4 linked regions of the Saccharomyces cerevisiae S288C genome follow. Changing the gene in region 4 together with the main gene of any one other region gives a genetic interaction. Each region holds a gene or a part of one and is shown on either strand. Other genes may lie near its edges. The genes, in order: HOM3, SSD1, THR4 and PFA4.

Region 1 (7,186 bases), on a different chromosome or scaffold from region 4:
GTCTTATCCAAATTCTGCGAAGCAAATCAAGAGCTACCGTTGTCCTAATCATAAGGAAGGAGAATATCTTACCGCATACGCTCTCATCACACAAAAAGGAAAGCGGCAAAGGAATAAAGAAAACCCTGAAGATAGTCATATAAATAAGCGGTATAATTTCAGAAAGAAGAAATTACTTGACTATATCGCTTTGAATGAGGGTGAATCGAAAAGGGATAAAATGAATCACCCTCATAAGGAGAGTTTCATGAAATCTTTTGAAAAATGGAAAAATGGCTCAAATATTATAAACGCCGCTGACTTTGCTGAAAAGTTTGATAATATAGATGTGCCGTACAAGATCATCGATCCACTGAATAGCGGAGTATATGTACCGAATGTGGGCACAGACAATGGATGCCTCACAGTTAATTATATCACCGAAATGATAGGCGAGGATTATCATGTTGATGTAATGGACGTTCAATCACAAATGAATGAAAATTGGAACTTGGGATCTTGGAATGAATATTTTACAAATACTGAACCAGACAGGAGGGATCGAATAAGGAATGTTATATCATTAGAAGTCTCTAATATTGAGGGATTAGAACTAGAGAGGCCCACTGCAGTTAGGCAGAATGATCTTGTTGATAAAATTTGGAGTTTCAATGGACATTTAGAAAAAGTCAATGGGGAGAAGGCGGAGGAGAATGACCCCAAGCCAAAAGTGACCAAATATATTTTGATGTCTGTAAAGGATGCTTATACGGATTTTCATTTGGATTTTGCCGGTACCTCTGTTTATTATAACGTTATCTCAGGACAGAAGAAGTTTTTATTATTTCCACCTACCCAATCAAACATAGATAAGTATATTGAGTGGTCTTTAAAAGAAGACCAAAATAGTGTTTTCCTCGGTGATATTCTTGAGGATGGTATTGCGATGGAATTAGATGCTGGTGATTTGTTTATGATTCCAGCTGGATATATTCATGCAGTTTATACACCAGTAGACTCTTTGGTATTTGGAGGCAACTTTTTAACCATCCGTGATTTGGAGACACACCTTAAAATTGTGGAAATTGAAAAGTTAACAAAGGTTCCTAGAAGATTTACCTTCCCGAAGTTTGATCAAGTGATGGGTAAATTATGCGAGTATCTTGCGCTTGATAAAAATAAAATCACTAGTGATGTCAGTGATGGGGATTTGCTTTCCAGGACCACTAATTGCGCAATTCAATCACTTCATGCATACGTTATAAAACCTGAAGTTAAGTACAAGCCGTTAAATTTCACTTCAAAGAAGCATTTAGCGAAAGCTTTAGCCGATCTTATTTCGTAAAATTTCTTCTTGTCCGCCACGTTCTTGTATCTTTTATTTCATCCTATGCTCTCGATGAATGAGATCTACTTTAGCAATTGATACAGTATAACCCTGACATTACATTTAGGGAATAATCGCCCCAATATAGGTTACAAAACATTAATATATATGTAAATATATGTGCGCGTATATATATATATATATATATATAAAGGGAAAATTAATATTCTATCATTAAAGTGAAGAAGAAAGGTGGATTTAAATTCCAAGTCTTTTCAATTGTTCTAAACGTTCATCAATGGCATGTTCAAATTGGTTTGAAGTATTTGTCCGCTCACTTAGTAACTTGGCATGAATACATTGTAGCGCTTTTATGGAGTCAGATTCATTGATAACGCAGGATATGTTTATTTCATTTGCCCCTTGAGAAATCATTTCAATGTTGATGCCTTCTTCAGCAAGAGTAGTAAACATGGTACCAGCAATGCCGATGTATTGTTTCATATGTTTACCAACTAATGAAACAATAGACAACTTCTTTGTGATATCAACAGAACCTAAAATTCTCAATTTTTCCTCAGCTTGTCTCAGAGATTTTAATGAGTCTGCATCTGGAATGGGCAAAGCCATCGAAACATGAACTTCAGAAGTAGATATTAAATCTACGACTAACTTGTACTTATCCAGGATGGTAAATATTTGAGCTAGGAAACCATGGGATAGGGTTTTCTTATTGGAATGAATGTTGATGACGAAAATGTCATTTTTGGTGGTGATAGCAGTGGCACCTCTCTTTCTCTTTTCATAGAAAGATGAGGATAAGTTCTCAGGAGGATGTGGTGGAGTAGATTCACCCTTCTTTGCTACATTATCTGGGTAGATAATGGTACCGTTACCTAATGGATTTTGAACATTCTTGATTCTAATAGGAATCTTAGCCCTAATAACTTGTTCCATCGTAAAAGGATGTATAACTTCGGAACCATAATATGTTAATTCAGAAGCTTCTTCTGGAGTAACACTGTCTAGCAAACGTGCTTCAGGAACCTTACGAGGATCAGCAGTAAATATACCATCAACTTCCTTCCAAACTTGTAGTTCATCAGCATTTACAGCAACTGCTATCAAAGCGGCACATAAATCGGTATAGCCACGACCAACACCATTCAGAAGACCAGTTGGAACTAAACCAAAAAACCCTGTAAAGACTGGAACGATACGCTCTTTAGCACTTACAAAGGGGGCCAATTTTTCTTTCAATGCTTGAACCAGGAAAGTGTAGAAACTGTTATCCAAAGCGCTGGCACTGAAATCAGAGGGAACAATGTGGCTCAAATCCACATATTTGGCCTTACAGCCACGGTCATTACATAAAGCAGTCATGAACAAACAACTCAACTTCTCACCACATGACATCACCAGATCTACTGTACGTGAACTCACTTCACCCAAAACTTTTGAAGCATTTAAATATTTCTTGACCAGTTCAAGTTCTTTATTGGTATCATCCACTAACTTGGCTTGCAAGGCAGGATTGAGAATGAAGCGGTCGGCATTATCGATATGGTCTTGTCTGATAACTTCGATAATGTCTTGAAATTCAGATTCTTGCGAAGCCAAATCACAACATTTCAAAAGACGAGAAGTGGTACCTTCAGCCTTGGTGTATGAAGAACGGGCGGAACAAACGACAGCGACATTATTGTTTGGGCCGTCAGGTTTAGAATAGTGCTTCACAATGTCATCCACTATTTGGACGGGAAATTTACCGACAGATGTACCACCGAACTTTTGCACGACCCAGTTCGAATGACTTGATGTAGGTTGGAAATCCATTGGCATGTAAAAGTTAAAAAAAATGAAAGCTTCTGTGATAAAATGCGATAGCTATGTGAGCTTAAGCGATGGAGAGAGTATTGGCTACACAAATATCCTTCAATGAGTAGAGCACTGTTAAAATAGAAATAAAATAATTATCCAGCAGTATTCTTATATATGGATATTATACATTATTTCTTCGAAGCTAAAAGAATCTCTGGAGAAGACTGCGTACGGAAAGTGAAAAAAAAAAAAAGTGATGATGAAATTTTCGTTTGCTAGTGAAAAAGAAAGAAAAGGTGAGTCATGGGCCTGAAAAATACACGTGGTTAGAGCCACAGTAGAGTAAAAAGTTGATATTAGGGGAGTTCTAGAAAGAAAAGGATCCTGTGAGACCAATGACAGTGATTGTAAATTGTGGGAGTGATATTTGATGTTACTATCAAATAAGGCCTCAGCCTCTGAATATGTTCACCTAAAAATTGTAGAAGATTCAATCGCGAGCGGCTGGCAAGTTTGGGCATGCATCGAGTATTGCCGTATATCGAAACTACCTTATAAATGTGTTTCTGATATGGCACTTTCAAAGTTTTCCTGGGCCTGTTCTTGGCTTGAGAAATTTGGCAATCATAACAAAACTCTTAGTATGAAAAGAAATTGTAGGACGAATATTTATTAAGACATATGCAAAGAAGAACAAACTATAAATGCCGGTCATTTACTAACTTTATGAAATCCTGTGTATACAATATTCCTCTAGCACAGAGTGTTTACGATAAACCTTGCCGATTGAATCGATCAGCTAACCGGTGGTTGGTAAGCCTACATAAGCCTTGAACGAATCGTAAATTAGCCATTGGAAACTTGTCAAAGTACCGATCATGACAATTCTCACCATTAACCCATTCCACAACCCAGTAAAGCCAATTTTTTGATATATTCTTTTAGAGGCTACAGACATGGACTCGTTGGCCTTTCTTTCGCTATTGATCTTGGAAACCATAACGTCTGCAGGATGTGAGACTGCAGCACATAATATACCTGCCAGATAACCACCTACAAAACTGACTGATATTTGCTGTAATGCGTTCATTTCTTCTTTCTTTTTAGGTAAAACACTGTATATTTTTTGAACAATTTTTTCGAATGAGGTAAACTTACACATTGTGTAAGGAATCTGTCTGCACCATAGGGGAACAATACCTTTATAAAATGCTTTCATACCTCCACTTTCTGCATACATTTTTTTCCATCCATCAACAACGTTATTGCAAAAGGGCGGCATAGTAGTCTGCTGTTTCACTTTAATAGCTTCAAATGGGCACAACATGATATCAGCGAGGAATTCAGCGGTCGCTGAGGCCATCAAGTACACAGTGACACCAGGACTTAACCAACTAGAATACAAATGCTTGAAATACTCATAACCACCATACTTACCTGCACCTTGTAGCGAATATCCGACGAATGTAGCACCAAACCCAGTGTATACTTTCTTCCAGCCTTCATTAGCTATAATCTTACGGAACCCTTGTAAGTTTGAAGTATACAACTTGGGATTGACCTGTAGCCTACATTTGACAAGATCTAGTGGAGTGATCGAAGAATGTGTTGGACCGCACGCAATTATACCACCTAAGGTACATGTGGCATAAAACTCTTTCGTATATAATTGGATTTTACGTGGTTGTTTATTGGACTCCATGCTTTACAACTGTCAATGAGTCCGTTCTCTTTTTCCCTTACTTTATTTTTTTAGAATTAAAACAATAACAGAACACTTTCAGTTAACAATGTGTCATTGACTGCCTGGAAAAAAAAATAAAATATCTATAAAACACAAGCAAAATGAAAGTATATTTGGTAGGTCCCGCTGTATTTATATCAAATGTAACAGGGTATGCAGAAAATCGATATATCCATTTTCCTTTTTATTAAGCAAAATGAAACTAAAAACAAGGAATAAACCTAAAAAAGATCTCCTTATTTCGCTAATACCCCTGAAGTCCAACTTTTGGTTAGCCGAGATCTTAGCCGAATGAGATTGTGAAATGCAACCCAAAGTGACCGTTGTTGCTAGCTAGCATATGAATGAATCTAAGAACTGGAAAGGCAAGTTAAGGGCCAAAAATAATGACTTGAATATTTTGCAGTATCTACGTTGAATTAAAGTATTCTTCGTAAGCGGTACTTTTCACTTGCTACTTGTCACCTTATTACCTATGTGCTGAGAGGGTAATGGTACGATGTTCCTTTTTGACACAATGCGTCTTTTCCCTATGCTGTAACAAAAAAAACAAAGGCCGAGGTTCGGATTTCTTAGCAGATCACGTGCTGACTTTTTGGAATACACCGTTAAAATTCTCACACGGTTAGTATTTACATTTTTTCAAGAATAGGGTTTTGCCGCTTACCTTGATATGCGGGCGATTTTGCGGGATTTCTGACATCTAATAACTTAGTAGTCATTGAAGGAACAAAGTTTTAGTCTTATTCGGATGTTTCCCTTCTTATTTTCGAAATGAAGCTTTTTGGAGAGATGGGGATAGGTGGCTTTTTGTGCCTTCCTCGAATGTCTAGCCGAGTCTTGCGATGGAAGGGCTAGACAGCATGTTTTAGAGATGTAGTAAGTTATATTATAATCATATTATAATTGCCTAAATATAGACGTATATCATATACAATAGCAAAAATACATAATTACGAACATAAAAATGAAAATAACTTTGGTCAAACAGCGTGAGCTGTCAAACGTATAAATCTTAAAAAACGTGTATTAAGTATGAGCTAAGAAGGCGCTCATCAATAGAAAACCGGATTAAAAACATCGAAAATTATTGAAAAAATATTAAGTGTAGTGTGGAAATGAATGAGTAGAAAAAAGATAAATTAGAAAACAGAACATCAACTTCGTAAATAGTAAAACGCTAAGCCAGACTAGGTAGAACTGACTTTGCATACCTCTCTTGGCGGCAGTAAGCAGATTAGCTGATTTAAATCACTGCAAGTAAGGAACATCGCTCTTGTTTCTGTTCATGACTGTTCTATGAGCACCAAAGTAGAAAACGAAAATGAAAGCGAAAATACTCAAAAAAATCTCTAAATCTTGCATTGTAGTGTGTACTGTGTAGTAAAGCTATTGTTTGTTTTTATTATTTCTATGTAGAATTCTGTAAAAGGACGAAAAGAATGTTTCCAAGCAGTATGTCTACCTCTGTCGTTGTAGAAGGGATTCCTACTTCTTTATATACAAAATGCACATCGGTAGAAATATCTAATTCTCTATTTAATTGAATGCATAAGGGGTACCAAAAAATCTCTCTTCACGTCTTATAGCTGAACAGTTATCGGATATAGGCTACCACATAAAAGAACAGGGATGTCCTAATACAGCAATCATTTTTTTTTTCATTACGTAAAAAGTAAAGTAAACCATCCATTCTCCCTTCTTTCAGTCAAATGCCGCAGTCCCTTACATTTCAAACTGAAGCGTCGGGATGAGACTGTAGAAAGAAGTAGGAGTAGTATGCAAAAAAAAAAAAAAAAAAAAAATATAACCTCTGCCGGAAGTGAAGGCACAAAAATAGCTCTCTCTAAATGGGCGGTGGAAGGGTGTTCAAAAGTAAAGAAATATAGGCGCACTTCTGAAGTCATCGTAGGTGAATAAGCAAGTCTTTATCGGCATGTTCGGGGTTTTTTTTACCAATGACGATTTCTGTCACTTAACTTTTTAGGCCTTCCGTGGTCGTGTCATAGCAACCCCTAGTTTTCTCTTCACATTTTGTCGCGTTTCCGTCGCACAGTAAGAGCTGTATAGCGTTGAATGAATGTAAAAAATGCTCACTGAAGGACGGTAGCCTTTACCAGTCTTTTACGTGCCGAATGCACATTTGTATATACGCCCACACACATCGAAGATCGGCTCCCGATTTCTTGTGAGATATTTATCTGTTTATTTGCTTATTTGTGATTTATGTATATTTACTTGAAATATTCTAGCATGTTTTAGAGTTATTTATCGGAGTTCGGTCCCAATCATGAGAGTAACTCAGGCCAAGATCT
Region 2 (9,185 bases), on a different chromosome or scaffold from region 4:
TTTCATCAACTACTCTGGTGCATTATTTCATGTTAGTTACCATATATACCGGCCGGCCGCATCGGGGTTTTTTGATTGAAAAAATTGGTATATTTTCAGTACACATATAAATAAAACCCTCAATTTGCCTCTCCAACCGTTATAACTATTCCAGATCCTCTTTACCGAGCAAGTAGGCTAGCTTCTGTAAAGGGATTTTTCCATCTAATACAATGAGTGGAGTATCAAATAAAACAGTATCAATTAATGGTTGGTATGGCATGCCAATTCATTTACTAAGGGAAGAAGGCGACTTTGCCCAGTTTATGATTCTAACCATCAACGAATTAAAAATAGCCATACATGGTTACCTCAGAAATACCCCATGGTACAACATGTTGAAGGATTATTTGTTTGTGATCTTTTGTTACAAGCTAATAAGTAATTTTTTTTATCTGTTGAAAGTTTATGGGCCGGTGAGGTTAGCAGTGAGAACATACGAGCATAGTTCCAGAAGATTGTTTCGTTGGTTATTGGACTCACCATTTTTGAGGGGTACCGTAGAAAAGGAAGTCACAAAGGTCAAACAATCGATCGAAGACGAACTAATTAGATCGGACTCTCAGTTAATGAATTTCCCACAGTTGCCATCCAATGGGATACCTCAGGATGATGTTATTGAAGAGCTAAATAAATTGAACGACTTGATACCACATACCCAATGGAAGGAAGGAAAGGTCTCTGGTGCCGTTTACCACGGTGGTGATGATTTGATCCACTTACAAACAATCGCATACGAAAAATATTGCGTTGCCAATCAATTACATCCCGATGTCTTTCCTGCCGTACGTAAAATGGAATCCGAAGTGGTTTCTATGGTTTTAAGAATGTTTAATGCCCCTTCTGATACAGGTTGTGGTACCACAACTTCAGGTGGTACAGAATCCTTGCTTTTAGCATGTCTGAGCGCTAAAATGTATGCCCTTCATCATCGTGGAATCACCGAACCAGAAATAATTGCTCCCGTAACTGCACATGCTGGGTTTGACAAAGCTGCTTATTACTTTGGCATGAAGCTACGCCACGTGGAGCTAGATCCAACGACATATCAAGTGGACCTGGGAAAAGTGAAAAAATTCATCAATAAGAACACAATTTTACTGGTCGGTTCCGCTCCAAACTTTCCTCATGGTATTGCCGATGATATTGAAGGATTGGGTAAAATAGCACAAAAATATAAACTTCCTTTACACGTCGACAGTTGTCTAGGTTCCTTTATTGTTTCATTTATGGAAAAGGCTGGTTACAAAAATCTGCCATTACTTGACTTTAGAGTCCCGGGAGTCACCTCAATATCATGTGACACTCATAAATATGGATTTGCACCAAAAGGCTCGTCAGTTATAATGTATAGAAACAGCGACTTACGAATGCATCAGTATTACGTAAATCCTGCTTGGACTGGCGGGTTATATGGCTCTCCTACATTAGCAGGGTCCAGGCCTGGTGCTATTGTCGTAGGTTGTTGGGCCACTATGGTCAACATGGGTGAAAATGGGTACATTGAGTCGTGCCAAGAAATAGTCGGTGCAGCAATGAAGTTTAAAAAATACATCCAGGAAAACATTCCAGACCTGAATATAATGGGCAACCCTAGATATTCAGTCATTTCATTTTCTTCAAAGACCTTGAACATACACGAACTATCTGACAGGTTGTCCAAGAAAGGCTGGCATTTCAATGCCCTACAAAAGCCGGTTGCACTACACATGGCCTTCACGAGATTGAGCGCTCATGTTGTGGATGAGATCTGCGACATTTTACGTACTACCGTGCAAGAGTTGAAGAGCGAATCAAATTCTAAACCATCCCCAGACGGAACTAGCGCTCTATATGGTGTCGCCGGGAGCGTTAAAACTGCTGGCGTTGCAGACAAATTGATTGTGGGATTCCTAGACGCATTATACAAGTTGGGTCCAGGAGAGGATACCGCCACCAAGTAGCTATATAGAATCAAATCTCATACATAATTTAAAGAACGAGAGTGCAATGTGATGATTGTGATTCCTGATCCTATGTCACGGACGACGACTTGTATCACCTTGAATTTTCTGACCAAAGGGGCCGAGTCGCTTCACGAGGGGATGAGAAAGGAAAAGAAGGGAAAACTAAACTTATATAACGCAGGTGTGTCTTTCTACCATTGCCATCAAGTTATTAAAGGCCACGAACAGGAACGCTAGAGACCTGAGTTTGTCATTTGTTTAGTTCAAGGATTAAATAAACAATCCTTCTACAAATAAGTCCTTTCTTTCACCATCGTCTTAAGACCACTGCCTCCAACGAAAACTAACCTAAAAGAGTTTAGATCACGAGTATTTTCGCTCTTTCCCTCCTTCCCCTGGTTTTTTCTCGTTAGTTCTTTTCATTTAAAAACTCTTCTCTTGTCAAGAATTTAAAAGACGAAGAGTCCAACACCGACTGATTTTCTAACAGCAAAGGAACGAAGTTTTGCCGTGCAAACAATAATTTCTAAATTATAATTTTGAGCCTAGCTGAGAAATAGGAGAGATTATATTTTAGAAAGGTAAGAAGTTTTTCTGTCATTCCTTTTAGAATATTTGCTACGTTCTAACATTTTTTGTTACTCAAGCGCATTTTCTGCAACTTCCCTTATAAGCTATTTCCTTTTTTTGGGACCGATCCTTTCTTCTGTCTTTGGTAACCTAAAAACCGGAATAGTCAAAGTTATCTGCATAGTCTTCTTGCCAGGCTTATTTTCGCCATACCATTTTTCTGGTACCCTAAACATTTTGGTCTTATTTTAGAACAGCTGGTGCCTCGTTTTTCCGCATTAGGCGCACTTTTTTCATAGCCACTATTCTAAAAGAAACAACTTTTTTTCAAAGGGAAATCTAAGTTGCCTGCACGAAGAATAAGACAAGGGTTCATAAACGTATAGTATTTGCCAAGTTCCATCTTTTTCTTTGTCACTTTAATATCGCAAAACAGAACACCAAAAACCTTTCAGCGCAAAGATTTGGCCCAATTATTCCATCTTTATACACTATGTCTAAAAATAGCAACGTTAACAACAATAGATCCCAAGAGCCAAATAACATGTTTGTGCAAACCACAGGAGGTGGTAAAAACGCCCCAAAGCAGATTCATGTTGCACACAGACGTTCCCAAAGTGAGTTGACAAATTTGATGATTGAACAATTCACTTTGCAGAAGCAGTTGGAGCAAGTTCAAGCACAGCAGCAACAGTTGATGGCTCAGCAACAGCAATTGGCACAACAGACAGGACAATACCTGTCAGGAAATTCTGGCTCTAACAATCATTTCACGCCTCAACCGCCTCACCCTCATTACAACTCAAACGGTAATTCACCTGGTATGAGTGCAGGTGGCAGCAGAAGTAGAACTCACTCCAGGAACAACTCCGGATATTATCATAATTCATATGATAACAATAACAATAGCAATAATCCTGGGTCTAACTCACACAGAAAGACGAGTTCACAATCCAGCATATATGGCCATTCCAGAAGACATTCTTTAGGTCTAAATGAAGCGAAAAAGGCTGCTGCGGAAGAACAAGCTAAAAGAATATCTGGGGGTGAAGCAGGCGTAACTGTGAAGATAGATTCTGTTCAAGCTGATAGTGGCTCAAATTCTACTACAGAACAATCTGATTTTAAATTTCCACCACCACCAAATGCTCATCAGGGCCATCGTCGCGCAACTTCAAACCTATCACCTCCCTCTTTCAAATTTCCTCCAAACTCTCACGGGGATAATGACGATGAATTCATAGCAACCTCTTCAACGCACCGCCGTTCAAAGACAAGAAACAATGAATATTCTCCAGGCATTAATTCCAACTGGAGAAACCAATCACAGCAACCTCAACAGCAGCTTTCTCCATTCCGCCACAGAGGATCTAATTCAAGGGATTACAATTCCTTCAATACCTTAGAACCTCCTGCGATATTTCAGCAGGGACACAAACATCGTGCCTCTAATTCATCAGTTCATAGTTTCAGTTCACAAGGTAATAATAACGGAGGTGGACGTAAGTCCCTATTTGCACCCTACCTTCCCCAAGCCAACATTCCAGAGCTAATCCAAGAAGGGAGACTAGTAGCTGGTATATTAAGAGTTAATAAAAAGAATAGATCGGATGCCTGGGTCTCTACAGATGGCGCTCTTGATGCGGATATTTACATTTGCGGCTCCAAAGATCGTAATAGAGCACTTGAAGGTGATTTAGTCGCGGTAGAACTATTAGTTGTGGACGATGTTTGGGAGTCCAAGAAAGAAAAGGAAGAAAAGAAGAGGAGAAAGGATGCCTCTATGCAACACGATCTAATTCCTTTGAACAGTAGTGACGATTACCACAACGATGCATCTGTTACTGCTGCAACAAGCAACAATTTTCTATCTTCTCCCTCCTCGTCTGATTCGCTAAGCAAGGATGATTTATCCGTCAGAAGAAAGAGGTCATCTACTATCAATAATGATAGTGATTCCTTATCATCTCCTACCAAATCAGGAGTAAGGAGAAGAAGTTCATTGAAACAACGTCCAACTCAAAAGAAAAATGACGATGTTGAAGTTGAAGGTCAGTCATTGTTATTAGTTGAAGAAGAAGAAATCAACGATAAATATAAGCCACTTTACGCAGGCCATGTCGTTGCTGTTTTGGACCGTATCCCTGGTCAGTTATTTAGCGGTACATTAGGTTTGTTGAGACCATCCCAACAAGCTAATAGCGACAATAACAAACCACCACAAAGCCCAAAAATTGCTTGGTTCAAGCCTACTGATAAGAAGGTGCCATTAATTGCAATTCCTACAGAATTAGCTCCAAAGGACTTTGTTGAAAACGCTGATAAATACTCCGAAAAGTTATTCGTTGCCTCTATTAAACGTTGGCCAATCACATCTTTGCATCCATTTGGTATTTTAGTTTCCGAACTTGGAGATATTCACGATCCTGATACTGAAATTGATTCCATTTTAAGGGATAACAATTTTCTTTCGAATGAATATTTGGATCAAAAAAATCCGCAAAAAGAAAAACCAAGTTTTCAGCCGCTACCATTAACGGCTGAAAGTCTAGAATATAGGAGGAATTTTACGGACACTAATGAGTACAATATCTTTGCAATTTCCGAGCTTGGATGGGTGTCTGAATTTGCCTTACATGTCAGGAATAACGGAAATGGTACCCTAGAGCTGGGTTGTCATGTTGTTGATGTGACCAGCCATATTGAAGAAGGCTCCTCTGTTGATAGGCGTGCGAGAAAGAGGTCCTCTGCGGTGTTCATGCCACAAAAACTTGTCAATTTATTACCACAATCGTTCAACGACGAACTGTCGTTGGCCCCTGGCAAGGAATCAGCCACGCTGTCGGTTGTTTACACTCTAGACTCATCTACTTTAAGGATTAAATCTACTTGGGTAGGCGAATCTACAATTTCCCCCTCAAACATCTTGTCTTTAGAACAATTAGACGAAAAATTATCTACTGGAAGTCCCACTAGCTACCTCTCTACTGTACAGGAAATTGCTAGATCATTTTATGCTAGAAGAATAAATGATCCAGAAGCTACATTACTTCCCACCCTGTCCTTATTGGAAAGCTTGGATGACGAAAAAGTTAAGGTTGACTTGAACATCCTGGATAGAACTTTAGGCTTTGTTGTAATTAATGAGATTAAAAGAAAGGTCAACTCCACTGTTGCAGAGAAAATTTACACCAAACTTGGTGATCTAGCTCTTTTGAGAAGGCAGATGCAACCCATTGCAACCAAGATGGCGTCATTTAGAAAGAAAATTCAAAATTTTGGTTACAATTTTGATACCAATACGGCGGATGAATTAATCAAAGGGGTGCTAAAAATTAAAGATGACGATGTTAGAGTCGGAATTGAAATTTTACTGTTTAAAACCATGCCAAGAGCTAGATACTTTATTGCTGGCAAAGTAGACCCGGACCAATATGGGCATTATGCCTTGAACCTACCTATCTACACACATTTCACAGCGCCAATGAGAAGATACGCTGATCATGTCGTTCATAGGCAATTAAAGGCCGTTATCCACGATACTCCATACACCGAAGATATGGAAGCTTTGAAGATTACCTCCGAATATTGTAATTTTAAAAAGGACTGTGCTTATCAAGCACAGGAACAAGCAATTCATCTATTGTTGTGTAAAACAATCAACGACATGGGAAATACTACAGGACAATTATTAACAATGGCTACTGTCTTACAAGTTTACGAGTCCTCCTTTGATGTATTTATTCCAGAATTTGGTATTGAAAAGAGAGTTCATGGAGATCAACTACCTTTGATCAAAGCTGAGTTTGATGGTACCAATCGTGTCTTGGAATTGCATTGGCAGCCCGGCGTAGATAGTGCAACTTTTATACCAGCAGATGAAAAAAATCCAAAATCCTATAGAAATTCCATTAAGAACAAATTCAGATCCACAGCCGCTGAGATTGCGAATATTGAACTAGATAAAGAAGCGGAATCTGAACCATTGATCAGCGATCCATTGAGTAAGGAACTCAGCGATTTGCATCTAACAGTACCAAATTTAAGGCTACCATCTGCAAGCGACAACAAGCAAAATGCTTTAGAAAAATTCATTTCTACTACTGAAACCAGAATTGAAAATGATAACTATATACAAGAAATACATGAATTGCAAAAGATTCCTATTCTATTGAGAGCTGAGGTGGGGATGGCTTTGCCATGTTTAACCGTCCGTGCATTAAATCCATTCATGAAGAGGGTATAATCTCTTCTACCAATATCGTCATTGCTGTTTTTCTTGTTTTTCACTTTCGTTCTTTGGATTGTGCTTCACCCCTCAGTATCCCTTCCCTTTGTTTTTATTTCCTGCGAACATTAACAACTGCATGAATTTTGTACTTCTCCTTTTAATCCACGTTCCGGTAAGGCATCATCCAAATTTTTTTATTCGACCTCGTTAAGTCATATATTTTTTCCCAAAAATACATAAAACAATAATGCAGCCTTCTTTTCAATATTTACAACTTTTCAATTTATATTGTCTTTTGTTATTTATACTCTTATATATTAAATTTATTCCGTTACTAAATACCCTTTTGCTGTACAAATATCATCAAAGAGAAGTACTGAAAGCTTACTTTTTATGCGCTGGGTAATTTTTCCGGAAACAATAACGAAATCATCGTCGAGCAATTTTGCTCGTACTTCAGAAACTACTGCGTAAACATTTGAGGTCGTACAATAAGTAGATAGAAATAAATAAACCAATTTTTCGTCAGCGTTTAATCTGTAGCCAAAGATTTGTGGTATTCTCACAGTTTGAATAATATTCAGCTACTTCATCAAGTAGTTTTTTTCAATAGGAGATTCACGGTTCAATAAGTGCATTGATTATGTTCGACCAATTAGCAGTCTTTACCCCTCAAGGTCAAGTACTTTACCAATATAACTGTTTAGGAAAAAAGTTTTCTGAAATACAAATTAACAGCTTTATATCCCAGCTGATTACTTCCCCAGTAACTAGAAAAGAAAGTGTTGCAAACGCAAATACAGACGGATTTGATTTCAATCTTTTAACAATCAACAGCGAACACAAAAATTCTCCTTCATTTAATGCACTATTTTATTTGAATAAGCAACCAGAATTGTATTTCGTAGTGACTTTTGCCGAGCAGACTTTAGAGCTTAATCAAGAAACTCAACAAACACTTGCACTGGTGTTAAAACTCTGGAACTCATTGCATTTAAGTGAATCCATTCTAAAAAATCGTCAGGGCCAAAACGAAAAGAACAAGCATAACTACGTCGATATTCTTCAGGGAATTGAAGACGACCTGAAGAAATTTGAGCAATATTTTAGGATAAAATATGAAGAGTCAATAAAACAAGACCATATCAATCCAGATAATTTTACCAAAAATGGATCAGTACCCCAATCGCATAATAAAAATACCAAGAAAAAATTGAGGGATACAAAAGGTAAGAAGCAATCTACAGGAAATGTTGGTAGTGGGAGAAAGTGGGGCCGTGATGGTGGCATGCTTGATGAAATGAATCATGAAGATGCAGCCAAATTAGATTTCTCATCATCCAACAGCCACAATAGTAGCCAAGTAGCTCTAGACTCCACTATTAATAAAGATTCTTTTGGGGATAGAACAGAAGGAGGCGATTTCTTAATCAAAGAAATTGATGATCTTTTGTCTTCTCATAAAGACGAGATAACTAGTGGGAACGAAGCTAAAAATTCTGGATACGTCAGTACAGCTTTTGGATTCCTTCAAAAACACGTTCTAGGTAACAAAACGATCAATGAAAGTGATTTGAAATCTGTATTAGAGAAGTTAACACAACAATTGATAACCAAAAATGTAGCACCAGAGGCAGCAGACTATTTAACACAGCAAGTCTCACATGATCTTGTAGGCTCAAAAACTGCAAATTGGACCAGTGTTGAGAATACTGCTCGTGAATCTTTAACAAAAGCATTAACTCAAATATTAACGCCTGGTGTATCCGTTGATCTCCTCCGTGAAATTCAGAGCAAAAGAAGCAAAAAGGATGAAGAAGGTAAATGTGATCCCTATGTGTTCTCTATAGTTGGTGTTAATGGTGTTGGTAAGTCAACAAATCTTTCAAAGCTAGCGTTTTGGTTACTGCAAAATAATTTCAAGGTCTTAATTGTTGCTTGTGATACGTTTAGGTCTGGTGCAGTTGAGCAACTAAGGGTCCATGTTGAAAATTTGGCACAGCTAATGGATGATTCACACGTTCGTGGCTCCAAGAACAAAAGGGGTAAAACTGGTAATGACTACGTTGAACTATTTGAAGCTGGTTATGGTGGATCTGACTTGGTAACCAAAATTGCAAAGCAAGCCATCAAATATTCTCGTGATCAAAACTTCGATATAGTGTTAATGGATACTGCCGGGAGAAGGCATAATGATCCTACTTTAATGTCGCCATTGAAGTCTTTCGCTGACCAAGCCAAGCCAGATAAAATCATTATGGTTGGAGAGGCTTTAGTAGGTACTGATTCTGTCCAGCAAGCCAAAAATTTTAATGATGCCTTCGGAAAGGGAAGAAATCTTGACTTCTTTATTATCTCCAAGTGTGACACAGTTGGTGAAATGCTGGGTACTATGGTAA
Region 3 (7,337 bases), on a different chromosome or scaffold from region 4:
TACTATCATCGGGAGAACAATTACACTAAGCCTTATAAAATTATTGATTCATCAAAAAAGAAGATAACTAAATAACAATGCCTATGAACAATTTTCTAGATGAATTCAATTTATTTGATTCAATCATTACCATGATGAAGAACGACCCATGTTGCGTCGAGGATTATGAGCCAATCGTCGAAAACCTGAACCGTATATTTCAAAGGACGTTTAATGATGAAGAACATAGGAAATCAATGGCTAACTCCCAGCTTTTTTGGGAACGATTAAGAGACACCTTGGAAGCAATGCTGTTGCCAGCGTCGTTAAATGAGAATAGCTCAATACCGTATACAAGAACAGTGAGGGGCCTTATCTTAATGATGAGAAACCTTGCCGCTGAAAACCAGGAAATACCCCAAAAGCTTTTACTACAAAACCTCGTAATTCGTGGTTTTCTGCATGCAACTAGTGAGTATGTCGTTGACACTCCGCTAATCAAACATCTATACATCGCATGTTTAACGTGCCTTTTCAATATACAGCAGAACTACTCTACAGTGGATATGACTACTTTTCCAGCTCTTTTACAATTTCTTCAATACCCTTATGGGATCAAATTGGAAGACGGTGAAGAAGAAGAGCATTTCTGGCTACCATATTTATTTCTTTTCAAGACGTATCTCAACAATGATGAATTTTCCAACGAATTTTTCAGGGATAATGATACACCCCAGAAAGACTATTATTGTGTTAGGGATAGAATATTTTTCGATATAGTGACAGCCAAATTCATCCAGGATCAAGAGAATTCCTTTTTAATTGAGAAGGGCAGAAACTATCTGGATGATTCAAAATTGGAAATAACTTCTATTGACCTATCTGTCTTAGAATGTATTAGCAAAAGTCTTACAACTGCTTCTTTTGGTAAATACCTCAATGGGTTAGAAGAAAGACAGCCAGGAAAATTCACCACTTTGTTGCAGATATTGCAATTGGTTGTAACGAGTAAAGAAGATTGGAATACCTATGAGTTGACTGCAATTATGTCATGGTGCTACCCCATTCTGCAACGTCTTGCATGCAAGGATATTCCTGCCTTTTTCAATAAAAGTTGTAACGATTATGCTCCTTCAGTTGCCATCCAATTACACTCCACTTTACTTTCTTGCCTGGACATAATTTCTGACTTGTGCAAATTCAATCATGTTAGAAAATTCTTAATTTCGTATGACTCTGTGAAAATATTGGTATCTCTCTTGGATACTTTCCAAAAGAATTTGTTGAGGATTAATTTTTTGAAAGGAAACGGTGATACGGTGAATGAAATTAAAATCACAGATCATGAAGGTAACAAAATCGAGGACCGGTTATTAATTTTCAACCGTGTTAATACCAACGAATCCTTTATTAGGGCTGATAATTTTCCCCATTGTAAATTAGTAATAATCGAAATATTGGCATCGTTAGTGTATGCACATCCTGAAATCCAAGATCAAATAAGAGAATTAGGTGGTCTTGCATTAATTCTTTCCAATTGTGTCATCGATGATAATGATCCGTTTATCAAGGAAAGATCTATTGTTTGCTTGAAGTTTTTGTTAAAGAATAATGCCAAGAATCAGGAATATGTCAAAAAAATGGAAGCTCAAGACGTTGTTCAAGACGATGCATTGAGCAAAGCTGGGTTTGAAATATCAGTTGAAAAGGGCGGGAAAGTTAGATTAGTATCTAAAGAAGAAGACCCTGGGAACGAGAATTCTGAGATTATTAGCATAGATGAAGATTAATTTTATGGTTCCTTACTCTCGCAATCATGATTCACTTTGATTAACATTAAGGATAATCGTACTTCATACTCTCTATTAATTATAGAATTCTATATGTTATATAAGATAAAATATATTCATTAAAAAGGAAGATCTTATAATTTCATTTTAGCAAGTTCTTCTTCAATAGCGTTTTTGACCAATTCAACGTCAGCTCTTTCGATGAATTTTAATTTCTTCTTTAATGTGGATAGTTTCTTCAATTCCTCAGGCAAAACATCCTTTTCAAATGAATAATTGGAAAATCCAGACAATGCATTGTTTACAGCATCGGCAAATTTAGCTGGGTGAGCGGTAGATAGAGAAATGTATTGGATGGACTTGTCATTATCTTTTGCAATCAATCTTTCTGTGGCGCAAACACCGACAGCTGTGTGAGGATCTAAGATGTAATGTTTTGGATTTACAGATGATTCGTAGATCTTCTTGATTGTTTCAGATGTTTCTTCATTGGAAACTCTTTCTGATGTAAAGTCCTTTGATGCGCCTTCAATGATGGATTTGTCAACTTGGAACTTACCGTTGGTCTTCAATTCCTGGAACCAATTGTTGACGATTTCACCGGCTTTCAAATCATCACCATTAGCTAGGTATTCACGAGCTAGGTACCATAGTAGTCTTTCAAAGTTAGAAGAGATTAAGATATCCATTGCTGGGGATAAAGTAGCAGCAACCTTGTCTGATCTTTCGTATAGACCAGATTTCAAAAATCTGTCCAAAATGTCGTTTTCATTGGTAGCGATGGCCAGTTTTTCAATAGGCAAACCCATTTTCTTGGCAAAATAACCGGCCAATATATCACCGAAGTTCCCACTTGGCACAACGAACTTGACCTTCTTGGAGTCCTTACCGTTGGTGGCTTGGAAGAATGAATAAAAGTAATAGGTCATTTGGGCCAAGATTCTTGCCCAGTTGATGGAGTTAACAGCACCGACGTTGTGTTTAGAGTTGAATTCTTTGTCACCGAAAATAGCTTTGACGATATCTTGACAGTTGTCGAAAGTACCGGTAACAGACAAAGTCTGGACGTTTTCATCTGGAACGGTGGTCATTTGTTCTTCTTGAATTGGGGAAATTCTACCGGTTGGATATAAGATGAAAACGGAAACGTCCTTTTTGCCTCTTAAACCGTAGATGGCTGCAGAACCAGTGTCACCGGAAGTAGCACCGACCACAGTGATTTGCTTTTTCTCGCCTTCAGGTAAATTGGCGTTGGTTCTTTGTAAGAAGTATTCAAAAAGATTACCGACAAATTGTAAAGCAACGTCTTTGAAAGCGTAGGTAGGACCGTGGAATAATTCTAAAATGTGCAAATTCTCCTTGTCACCAGTGACGTTTTGCACCAAGGGGGTGACTTCATCAGAACGGAAAGTAGAATAAGATCTCTTGATCAAGTCCTTTAGATCAGCATCTGGAATCTCTTCTTGGGCAATGTATAGTCTCATGATAGCAAAGGCTAAGTCTTGGAAGGAGAGCTTTGACCAATCATTGAAAAGAGTGGCTTGGTCCACTTGTGGAATAGTTGGTGGAATGAAAAGACCACCGTCAGTGGCCAGACCTTGAATGATAGCCTCTTCAAAAGAGATTGTCTTTGGAGAGCTGGATCTGGTAGATCTGTAAACTTGGGAAGCGTTAGGCATTGGTGTGAGGGATGGTGGCCGTCTAAGAACAAATATTTGCTGCTATACTACCAAATGGAAAAATATAAGATACACAATATAGATAGTATTAAAAAAACGTGTATACGTTATTGATAGAAATGACTATACATTTTGTCGAAAATTTTTCATTTTCTTCTATTTCCTCGTTGTAATGACTCTTTTGTTCGCACGGTCACTACTCACGAGGAGGCGTGCAATAATTGCAGAAAGAATGAGATCATACAGTGATGTTATAGTCTTCCTTGGGAGTACAGTAGTGAGATATTGCCCATTAGTGACCTGTCATTGTTGTTGTTACTGTATATGTCACTCGTTCTTGCAGCATCTTCATTGAAGTATTGGTCGCCCTGCAGCACAAGCTCGTTTTGCTTGGAAGACCATAAGTAGTGAGTCAGCGTTTCTCTTGGATGCAAAGACAGTTCGTGGAAAAACTGGTATTTTTGAGCACTAGAGTTCAACTGCAAGGCAAGCTTTGTGATTTCACGTAGTTTTGCTGTGTCTTCAGCATCTGTTTCTTCCTCTTTTTGTAAATTTGGCTGGGGTTGAGGCTGGTGGAGAATGTGCGACACATCTACATCCAAGGTGGTAGCACCATAGGTGGTATCTTTGGAAAGATCAATTGTATAATCTAGGATGATGGGCGGTAGGGGTGATACCAGTTTGTTCACGGTTTGCACAACATTCATCAAGGGGAGGTGCGCGGCGTTTGTATCCAATACCTTTTGTAAGAGTGAATCTAGCTTCACTTCACCCAATTCGGGCTTATCCTTTGGAGTACTTCCCTCGACGCCATCATCGTCACCAGCACCGTTTTTATTGTTATTCTCGTTACTGCTGTCTTCGGCATCGTTGGAACCATCTTGAGCCTCTGTTTGTTCCGTAACAAACAGATTGTTGATCAAAATGTACTTGTAGATCGAATAAACCGCGTCATTAACGGAGCCCGTTTGCATACCTATCAAGGTAGCTAAGTTGGGCGAGTACTGTACTTTTCCACCGTCGACACCCCTCAACTGGATGGTTATACTGCATCGCAAATTATCCTTGCCTTGCCTCTTGATGTCGATACCATCAAACTCCACAACGTTGTTTTCATCGTAGTTCCATTCCAGTGCGTCTACAATTTCCTCCCTGGATTCTGCCTCTGCACTGTCCTCATCCTCGCCGTTGTCGTTATCGCCCATGGTGCTATCTTGATCATTGTATTCGGGTTGTTGCAGATTCAAAGGAAGGCTCAATGACGAATCGCGTTTCCTCTTCTTGCCCATGCCCAGCGGTTTCAGTCTTTTAAAGTCGACCGCGACACCTTCCAAAAACTCACTAAATGGGTGCTTTCCGTTTGCGGACTCGTGCAGAAGCTTACCTTCTATTCTCAGTGTCCATGTAGTCTTGCCTGAGTCCGCTGGGGTGCCAGAATCGCTGCGAGGGCTGCTTTCCGTAGTGTTGTAGACGTAAATCCTCAGCATCTCTTTATTGGGGGGATGGTCCTTGGTCTTGGTGTTTGTAGGTAAATTGATGGACGTATCCAGCCTCCTTCTTGTCAGATACAAATCTAGTCTGGAATCCATTTCTATCAATTTTTTCAAATCTGCCAGATTGGAGACCTTATCATCGGGCAGATACGTGGGGATATAAGCATCCGTTGGATATGTAACAGGGACCGGATTGGTCTGTGTTACCATTTCTATGAGCTGTTTTTCGTGCTGTATTACTATACGAAGCTGCCTTGTGAACTGTATATTTGTTGCTTTTCTTTCACTCTACAACGTTTTTTTCATTCTATTTAAAAACGCGGTGAAATTTTACCTTGTAAGAACGTCTATTAATGTACAGAAAAGATACATAAGGGAAAAGACTATGTAAGAGAAAGAAGTAGTTCATGTAGCGTCGCGTTCAATTTCTTTTAGCAAGCTGTAAGAGCCTTTGTGCTGGGTCGTTATTTTCTTCTCTTGGAATCTGGTTCGTCCCCGGAACCCGCCATGGAGCCCTGGCCCAGCATCTGCTCTCTGACCATAGCACGGATGTACCTTTCCAACTCCTCCTCAGCGTTGTCTCCCGTAATGATCTGTTCCAACTGCCTCCTGCGTTGCAGAGTGGCCTCATCGGCTCCTTCCTCAGGGTCATTTTCCAAGGTGTATCTCACGTTGTCCTTGAACTCTTCCAGCAATTTGCTGTCGATGACACCCTCACCCTGCACGCCGTCCACTCCGTGAACATCGGCCACGCCGGACTTAATCCTCATGTACTCGATTAGCTCACCATCTTCACCGTTCTCGACGAACGAGTCGTATGGCGTTTGGCCCTCCACATTCCTGATAGTGAAGTCTCCACCCAGCTCTTCCACGATCAACCTGGCAGTGGCCACATCCTCCACATGGTGCAACGGGGTATCGCCGTCGTTGTCCAACACATTAATGTCTCCATTGTACTCATTGCACATTTTCTTCAGCAAATCCAGGTGGCCGTATGCGGCGGCAGCATGCATTGGAGTGTAGCCGTTAATGTCCTTGGATTGCGGGGTCATGGCGCCTTTACTCTCGCGGAGGATATGTTCCACTCGGTCCAAATTACCATCTGAAGCAGCCACCCATATATTAGCGTTCATTTTGTCGTCACAACACCTATAATCATCGATTTTTGTCACCTGCAAACTCTTCTTGTTCTCAATTATATCAAAGGCATCGAAAATTTTTGGGGTTATGACAAGGAAAAAAAAAGTATTACCCGAAACTTAAACAATGAATGGTATATACTATATTGTAAAGTTCTAATAATATATATAAATATGTATATAGATATATATATAGACCTAGGAGCTCTTTGCCCCTGTCTTTGACCACGGTGGAGCGGACGCCCATTCCCTATTGTATATCTATCAAGGGCTTGCGAGGGACACACGTGGTATGGTGGCAGTTCATAAGGTCAGGTACAACGTCATAATGATACTGGGCCCTGAACAGACACCAAACGAAAAGACAACGTTGGACAACTGCGGTCTTGCCCGTAGAAACTTGGTGTTGCTCAAAGCAGTCCACACAAACTGCGACAGTTGGAACATGAACAGATATCCTCTAACCCTTCTGAAAATGGCGAACATGGCCATTTCGTGGAACACGGCACTCAAGAAAAAAGTAAATAATGTAGCTTGGCTCTTGCTCAAATGCAATGCGCCCATGGAGCTGTGGTACACGTGTCTTAGTAAAAATTTGTGAACGGGGACGTTCCAGATTCTGCTAAACTCTTCAAACGAAACGCAATTCCACCAGTCGCCGTAGAAATATCTGTCCGCAAACCTGGTCAACTCCGCCACGCAATTCAATAAAGCGTCCCATATCATGTAAAACGTGAGCATGTACAGAACAGTGAAGCCCGGAATCATGTCGAAGAGCAGGTGGAACCACTCTTGCGTGGCGGGGATCCAGCCGCCGAAGGTGGGCGTGTTGTGGAACTGGATACAGCGCATGGCCACCGGGTGCATGAAGAACTGTGCCGTGACCATCATGAGGAAGATGGTGCCAATGATGGCGCACACCTTCTCCAACACATACCTCCATCTGATGCGCGACGTTCTTGGGTAGTTGATCTGGTACACGAGGACGGGGAACAAACAGAACATGAAGAAATTGCTGCAACTGATGTTGTTGGGGAAGTCGTTATCCTTGGTCTGGTAGTTCAATTCGAAAAGGCAAAAGTCGCAACTTTTTTGCAGAATCTCGCGGGTCTCTGGGGACAAAGATTCCTTGTATTTTTGCAACTGTTTGGAAGAGTACTCGAGTTCCTGCTTTATGTCCCAAAGATACCCGTTGTAAAAGGCAAACGAGTGGCTCTTCATAACAAACACCACGGAGTGCAGGAACAGGAAGATTCT
Region 4 (6,953 bases):
CATCGATGAAGAAGCTAAAAATCCGTGGCTAACTGGGAATTTAGTGGAGGAAGCAAACTCTCAGGGTATTATCCAAAATCGCAGTATTTTTAATCTATTCGCTAATACGAATATTTACATATTTTTCCGTCATTGGACAACGATTTATGAGCGGCTTTTGGAAATTAAGCAAATGAATGAAAGGGTCACAAAGGAAATCAACACAAGGTCGACAGTTACTTTTGCCAAAGATCTAGATTTATTATCGAGTCAACTTTCCGAAATGGGACTAGATTTTGTTGGTGAAGACGCGTACAAACAGGTTTTAAGACTGAGTAGAAGGTTGATTAATGGGGATCTTGAACATCAGTGGTTTGAAGAGAGTTTGCGGCAAGCTTACAATAACAAAGCGTTTAAACTCTATACAATTGATAAAGTCACCCAATCGTTGGTAAAGCATGCTCATACCTTGATGACTGACGCTAAAACTGCGGAAATAATGGCTTTGTTCGTTAAAGATAGAAATGCCTCCACCACGAGTGCGAAGGACCAAATTATCTATCGCTTGCAGGTGCGCTCACATATGTCCAACACAGAAAATATGTTTAGAATAGAGTTTGATAAAAGAACTCTGCATGTTTCCATTCAATATATTGCACTTGATGATTTGACACTAAAGGAACCAAAGGCAGACGAAGATAAATGGAAATATTATGTAACATCGTATGCTCTGCCACATCCAACAGAAGGCATTCCGCACGAGAAACTGAAGATACCATTTTTGGAAAGGCTCATCGAATTTGGACAAGATATTGATGGAACAGAGGTAGATGAGGAGTTTTCCCCCGAAGGCATCTCTGTATCGACATTGAAAATTAAGATCCAGCCTATAACCTACCAACTGCATATTGAAAACGGGTCTTACGATGTTTTTACCCGTAAGGCTACTAACAAATATCCTACTATTGCTAATGATAATACTCAAAAAGGAATGGTTTCTCAGAAGAAGGAGTTGATATCAAAATTTCTAGACTGTGCAGTTGGTTTGAGAAATAATTTAGATGAGGCTCAAAAATTAAGTATGCAAAAAAAATGGGAGAACCTAAAAGACAGCATAGCAAAGACGAGTGCTGGAAACCAGGGAATAGAGAGTGAAACCGAAAAAGGTAAAATTACGAAACAGGAGCAGTCGGATAATTTGGACAGCTCTACTGCAAGTGTACTGCCTGCATCCATTACTACTGTACCACAAGATGATAATATAGAAACGACTGGGAATACTGAATCTTCAGACAAGGGGGCTAAGATTCAATAAGTAGTTTTAACTAGATTTAGAACAAAAATCTTTAGTACGACAGGGTCTTTCTTCTGATGTGTACCTTTAATTAATGTCAACGATATAACATTGTAATTTTAAAATTCTAAGTGTTTTTGAAGCTTTTTAAGACACATCGATCTTTCCATAAAGGAAGAAGTGATAACATGCAGTGGTTATATTTGTGTACTCATACACTGGTGCATGAATCTTTTTACACGTCATTAGCATAGTATGTAATCGAAAGGACACTATTTATAAGGGACAGTTTATACATACATATACTTGATATTCCCATGAATGAGTATTCTATTCCATATCAACATCCACTCCAAAATCGTCTAGTGATTCACCCCAGTCGTTGTACCACTTCTCACGAGAAGCATGTCTGCCATTTTGAGGAAGTCTGGTCCTTATTAGCTGTTCGCCACTTTCATTACGCATCTCTATTGTTGAGCTGCCATGATTGAAGACGGTGTTTGTTTTACCTCCATCTGGTGGCCAGGGAAGTGAAAGGATGTGGTCTTCCAATGAGGAGTTAGCCTCATATTTTGAAATACCGTTTTTTGGAAAATTGTTCCCATCTCCCGTAGGAACACCATATGGCCATAACCATAAATGAATGGGACCAAGGTACAGTAATGCATTAGTGTACAAATCAAAATCGTAAGGGAAATTTACAAGTTCATCAAAACGTGGCCTTTTTTTTGTCAAGTGTTCCTCAGCATCCTTTTTATTTTGAAACGACCTCGACTCTGGATATATTCTCCAAGTATTATCAATTAATTTCTGAGTTAATCTTCCGGAGTTGAACAAAGATTCTAGCCGATCCATATCCCACGACTCAATTTGAGATCTTCCATTCAAGATTTGATTGAATAAACATCGTAGGAAAAGAATTGTTATCGTTAGTAGGACAAAAGAATTTAAAGGACTCGATATTGTTAAGAAAATCAGTTCTGATTTTTTGAAGAAGTAGCCAGGCAAGTGCCTTTGTTGCCAAATAAAATATATCCGCTTAGCTTGTATGCAAAATAAAACACTAGTCGTCACTATGATCCAAAATAAGAATCTAAGGAAATGCGGATAGTTTGCAAAGCCGACGCAATTCATCGTCCACGGACAATGATGATCCATCATTAGGACGCATTGATTGCAGGTTTTACAATGATGTGAACGTTCTGGCTTATAACTTTGGCACTTCTTACAGAAATTCCGCCAGATATCAGGGGGTGGTTTGTAGTTGGGCAAAGGCCTTCCTGGATTTGTGCAGATGGCCAAGTAATAGGAGAGCCATATCATTGACAAACAGAACTCAAATGTTATTTGTTTCGGAACTGACAAGAAATTGGATAAAATAAAGTAGTGTGCACCATAGCCTATAAATGAAATCAGAAACGTTGGTATAGCAATTCCTAACCAAGGCCACCTTAACTTTACTGGCATGGTTTAACGATCAACTCAGTTTTTAAAATTCATGTTATACACCATCACCACAATGTAGGGACGATAATTATCGTATCTCAGATCCGCTATTTTTCATAAGCGCGTAGTAAGAGAGGTAGGTTTAACAGGATAATAAAAATATACATGAGACAGCCAATAAATAGTGGAAATAAGCCGTATTTTAAATTGAGAGCTCTTAGTAAGAAAAATGTTCCTCTGAGACGCTAAAGTCGTGTATATTTCATATGAGAAAGTGCACAAATCCTGCTTCCCTTCTATCTGGGAATTTCTTTTCTATATTTGAACATATTATTGTAAGGGCCTTTTTCTTTATTCTCTTCTCACATATAAGAACCATTTTATTATTTTAACTTTAAAACTACTTTCTATATAAATCCTACGTTTTTTCCAAATATCTAGGAGACAATCCCGTTCTCCATCTTTATATGGACTAACTCATAACTATTTAATAAACCTCTCAAGTGGCACAATGCCGCAATAACAACTAGAAAATGGAAAAGTTGGTGAGAATGACCCCAAATATCAAATTTACCGGGGCAAATCTTTTCAGGAAACCGCATTCCATAAAGAACAGCGCCAATTATATATAGGACACCCCCAAGTAATACCCAAAAGAGCTGAATTTGGGTCCAAATTTCTGAAAAACTATAGCAGTAAAGGCCGCTGAATATTGGAATAATTGAGGATAAACCAAAACAAACAAATAGCCCAGCTCTGTAAGGTCTCCACTCTCTTTTCCGAAACTTATCTTTTAGTGACACAATACTACACGCGATCCCAAAGCTAACGGTAATAAGCGCAAATAGGCAAAATAGGGAAAATTTCTCAAAATAGCCGTAGTACAAAATACTGACCATTGACGTAACAATCAATATACAAATACCAAGGTAGTCCAACTTATTTCCTAAGGTAGCAATTCTTAAGGAGTGACTCTTTAGACAATGAAAGGAGCTACTCAATATTAAACATGCAAACGCCCCCGAATAAAAGAGGTCGATTACCATATGATCTAGCCATGTAGTTGTTGCAAACACTTTGATAGTAGATTTATCTAGCAACAGTACAGTGAAGAACCCGAGAGCAGGAATTAAATGTGAATAAATATTGACACTTTCATTATGCAAATAAAACAAACTTTTAAAAGTTTCAATGAAGCTACTAGTTTCTTTCACGTATCCATGTAAAATAAAATCATTGTCTCTTTGCCATTCCGGAATTTCATCCCAACTATATAGCCTTCTTAGTACTTTTTTAGCTTTAGCGACCTCTGCGGGATTTGCGGATGTTTTCCCTGCAGCTCTCTTCTTCAGCTCTTGCACACTCTTAGTCCTTTCTAATAAAGTTGACATTTGGAATGATTCTTCTCCAACATGCAGCATAATTAAAACGACGGGAAATTTAGTACATTTGGCTCAAGGAACGCTGACATAAATACTATTTCTAATCTACTATTCGAAGAGATGTTGGATTTCTAAAAAAAAAAGAGCTCAACAACGGAAGACCGCCTATTAACCCCGAGTGTCTGTTTTTTAGTATACTCGAAGCAAACAAGAAAAGTTTGTTACTTAATTTCTGGCCTAAACAAGGTAGTGCTACCCTAGAGGAAGTACGATATCAGTACACTTTTGTATTTTTAACGAATTATGGTATTCTTTAAAATATTTAACATGCTATCGAGTTTTTCTTTCTAAAATGCGGTTTCAAAATTTGAGTCCGCTTTCTATGGAAAATATGAATGAGGCGAACGTGCTTGTACCATAGTCAGATTTTAACCCGTAGGTGAGAGCCTGAGGCTTCTGTAAACCACCTTGGAAACACATACGGGTTATAAGATTTTAACAAACAATCAGTCTCCATACTCATCCTAGGATCTCTTCTTCATTTGATGAATAAAGGATTCAAACTTCAGAAAGTTATTCAGCGTATATTGGCTTTCCTTTAATCTAATGCCCCAAGCCATCATAAATAGCCATATTACTTTGAAAGTGCTCATCCGTATACACTGCAACTTTTCTTCTTTTCTCTTTAGCCGATTATAGCTCCTACCTGTTTTTTTTTTCTTCTTAAGATTATTTATATTCCAATTTTATCATCCGTATTGTTTCCAATAGCGTTCCAGTGATCAGTTATATACTTCGAGAGGCAGATAACCTTTCTTTTTATAAGTGTTTATCAAATTTAAGTCTGCAAGCTATCATAAGACGAGGATATCCTTTGGAGACTCATAGAAATCATGGAAAGCACATCAGGAGAACGTTCCGAAAATATACATGAGGATCAAGGGATACCAAAAGTAATTCTGCCCGCTGATTTTAATAAATGCTCTAGAACTGACCTAGTGGTGCTCATATCACGAATGTTAGTATCGCTGATAGCAATCAATGAAAATTCAGCAACAAAGAAATCTGATGACCAAATTACTTTAACACGATACCATTCTAAGATTCCTCCAAACATATCAATCTTCAACTATTTCATACGACTGACAAAGTTTTCCTCTTTAGAACATTGTGTGCTTATGACATCACTCTATTATATCGATTTATTGCAAACTGTGTATCCTGATTTTACGCTTAATTCGTTGACTGCCCATAGGTTTTTATTAACAGCCACCACAGTCGCAACAAAAGGCTTATGTGATTCGTTCTCAACAAACGCCCATTATGCAAAAGTTGGAGGAGTACGATGTCACGAATTGAATATACTGGAGAACGATTTTTTAAAGAGAGTAAACTACAGAATCATTCCGCGGGATCATAACATTACGTTATGTAGTATAGAGCAAAAACAGAAAAAGTTTGTCATAGATAAAAACGCATTAGGGTCTCTCGATTTGGATTCTTATTCTTACGTTAATCGTCCAAAAAGTGGATATAATGTTCTAGATAAATACTATCGAAGAATAGTTCAGCTGGTGGGTTCCTTTAACGCTTCACCTGATAAGAGTAGAAAGGTTGATTATGTTCTCCCGCCAAATATTGATATAGTGAGTGAAAGTGGCTCCCAAACTACTCAACTAAAGGGGTCGTCATCACCCAATTCTCACTCTTCACAAAAGCGATATTCTGAGGCAAAGGACGCACATATCTATAACAAGCGATCAAAGCCAGATTAATGATTTTTCGTGGGGTATTATGAAAGCAATCATGATTGAGCAAAATTAAAACTTTCCATTTGTACATATATATATATATATATATATATATCTGTGTGTGTATAATAAGCAATTGGCCATCATTTGGCTAAAAAGTTCAAGATTTCAGGTAGTATATAAGAGAATAACTTCCCTCTTTTGCTAAAGAAGGATATGTTCTATTTCAGCCTTTTTGCATCATAAGAGCATAAGCGACAGAAAACACTTCGAGATGAGCTTGAGAACTCCATTTCAATTAACTTGATAAATACATGTAGATTCATATCATCACTGTTCTTTTCAGATACTAGTTTCAAAACTTCCTTGACAGAACCATTTCATGTTCAATAATGAAAATTACTTTCACATGTTTTAGTGGAAAAATACTGAACAATGAAATTTCAATATCGCATATAATAATTTTTGTTATCAAATATATATTTTTCGGAAGTCATATACATTAAATAATTAAAACATTATTTTTAAAAATTAAAAAAATATATTTTAGCAAATAGTTTTTACTTTTTTTTAAATGCAAAATAAGTTCACGTGATATTATTAATAATATTTTACCCAAAAATATGAGGGCATCGGAAAATTTTTCAGTAATGAATATTAATGTTCATCTGAAGATAGACGAAATAGGAACAACAAACAGCTTATAAGCACCCAATAAGTGCGTTATGACTTCTGAAAATCCGGATGTACTTTTATCTAGGGTGATAAATGTGGTGAGAGCAGCATCATCGTTAGCCAGTCAAGATGTAGACTTTTACAAGAATTTAGACAGGGGATTTAGTAAAGATCTGAAATCAAAAGCAGACAAACTTGCGGATATGGCGAATGAAATAATCCTCTCTATTGATGAGCATCATGAATCATTTGAACTTAAAGAAGAGGACATTTCTGACTTGTGGAACAACTTTGGAAACATCATGGATAATTTGTTAGAAATGTCAGACCATTCGCTGGATAAGCTGAATTGTGCAATAAACTCAAAGTCAAGAGGTTCCGATCTTCAGTATTTAGGCGAATTTTCAGGAAAGAATTTTTCTCCCA

What was found.
Region 1: mutations in PFA4 (region 4) and HOM3 together harm fitness more than expected from each alone (negative genetic interaction), as found in Saccharomyces cerevisiae (2 studies listed by BioGRID).
Region 2: mutations in PFA4 (region 4) and SSD1 together harm fitness more than expected from each alone (negative genetic interaction), as found in Saccharomyces cerevisiae (4 studies listed by BioGRID, with this or other methods).
Region 3: mutations in PFA4 (region 4) and THR4 together harm fitness more than expected from each alone (negative genetic interaction), as found in Saccharomyces cerevisiae (3 studies listed by BioGRID).

Annotation. Positions count from the first base shown.
Region 1 is NC_001137.3:254,811-261,996, forward strand, and holds HOM3 (aspartate kinase), read right to left. Parts: upstream 3,149-7,186; coding exon 1,565-3,148; downstream 1-1,564. Other genes in the region: JHD1 ([Histone H3]-lysine-36 demethylase), read left to right, coding at 1-1,324; PIC2 (Cu/Pi carrier), read right to left, coding at 3,927-4,829; YER053C-A (uncharacterized protein), read right to left, coding at 6,123-6,236. UniProt on the Saccharomyces cerevisiae protein: Phosphorylates aspartate, the first step in the biosynthesis of amino acids that derive from aspartate (the aspartate family of amino acids), including methioinine and threonine, the latter of which is a precursor to isoleucine.
Region 2 is NC_001136.10:1,043,256-1,052,440, reverse strand, and holds SSD1 (mRNA-binding translational repressor SSD1), read left to right. Parts: upstream 1-3,048; coding exon 3,049-6,801; downstream 6,802-9,185. Other genes in the region: sphinganine-1-phosphate aldolase DPL1, read left to right, coding at 213-1,982; SRP101 (signal recognition particle receptor subunit alpha), read left to right, coding at 7,430-9,185. UniProt on the Saccharomyces cerevisiae protein: Can suppress the lethality due to deletion of SIT4, and partially the defects due to BCY1 disruption. Is implicated in the control of the cell cycle G1 phase.
Region 3 is NC_001135.5:212,808-220,144, reverse strand, and holds THR4 (threonine synthase THR4), read right to left. Parts: upstream 3,449-7,337; coding exon 1,904-3,448; downstream 1-1,903. Other genes in the region: CTR86 (Ctr86p), read left to right, coding at 78-1,769; RSC6 (Rsc6p), read right to left, coding at 3,700-5,151; YCR051W (uncharacterized protein), read right to left, coding at 5,406-6,074; YCR050C (uncharacterized protein), read left to right, coding at 6,373-6,681; ARE1 (sterol acyltransferase), read right to left, coding at 6,384-7,337. UniProt on the Saccharomyces cerevisiae protein: Catalyzes the gamma-elimination of phosphate from L-phosphohomoserine and the beta-addition of water to produce L-threonine.
Region 4 is NC_001147.6:320,255-327,207, forward strand, and holds PFA4 (palmitoyltransferase PFA4), read right to left. Parts: upstream 2,741-6,953; coding exon 1,604-2,740; downstream 1-1,603. Other genes in the region: transcriptional regulator SIN3, read left to right, coding at 1-1,294; IZH2 (PAQR-type receptor), read right to left, coding at 3,157-4,110; PHO80 (Pho80p), read left to right, coding at 4,995-5,876; exosome nuclease subunit RRP6, read left to right, coding at 6,578-6,953. UniProt on the Saccharomyces cerevisiae protein: Mediates the reversible addition of palmitate to target proteins, thereby regulating their membrane association and biological function. Palmitoylates several amino acid permeases.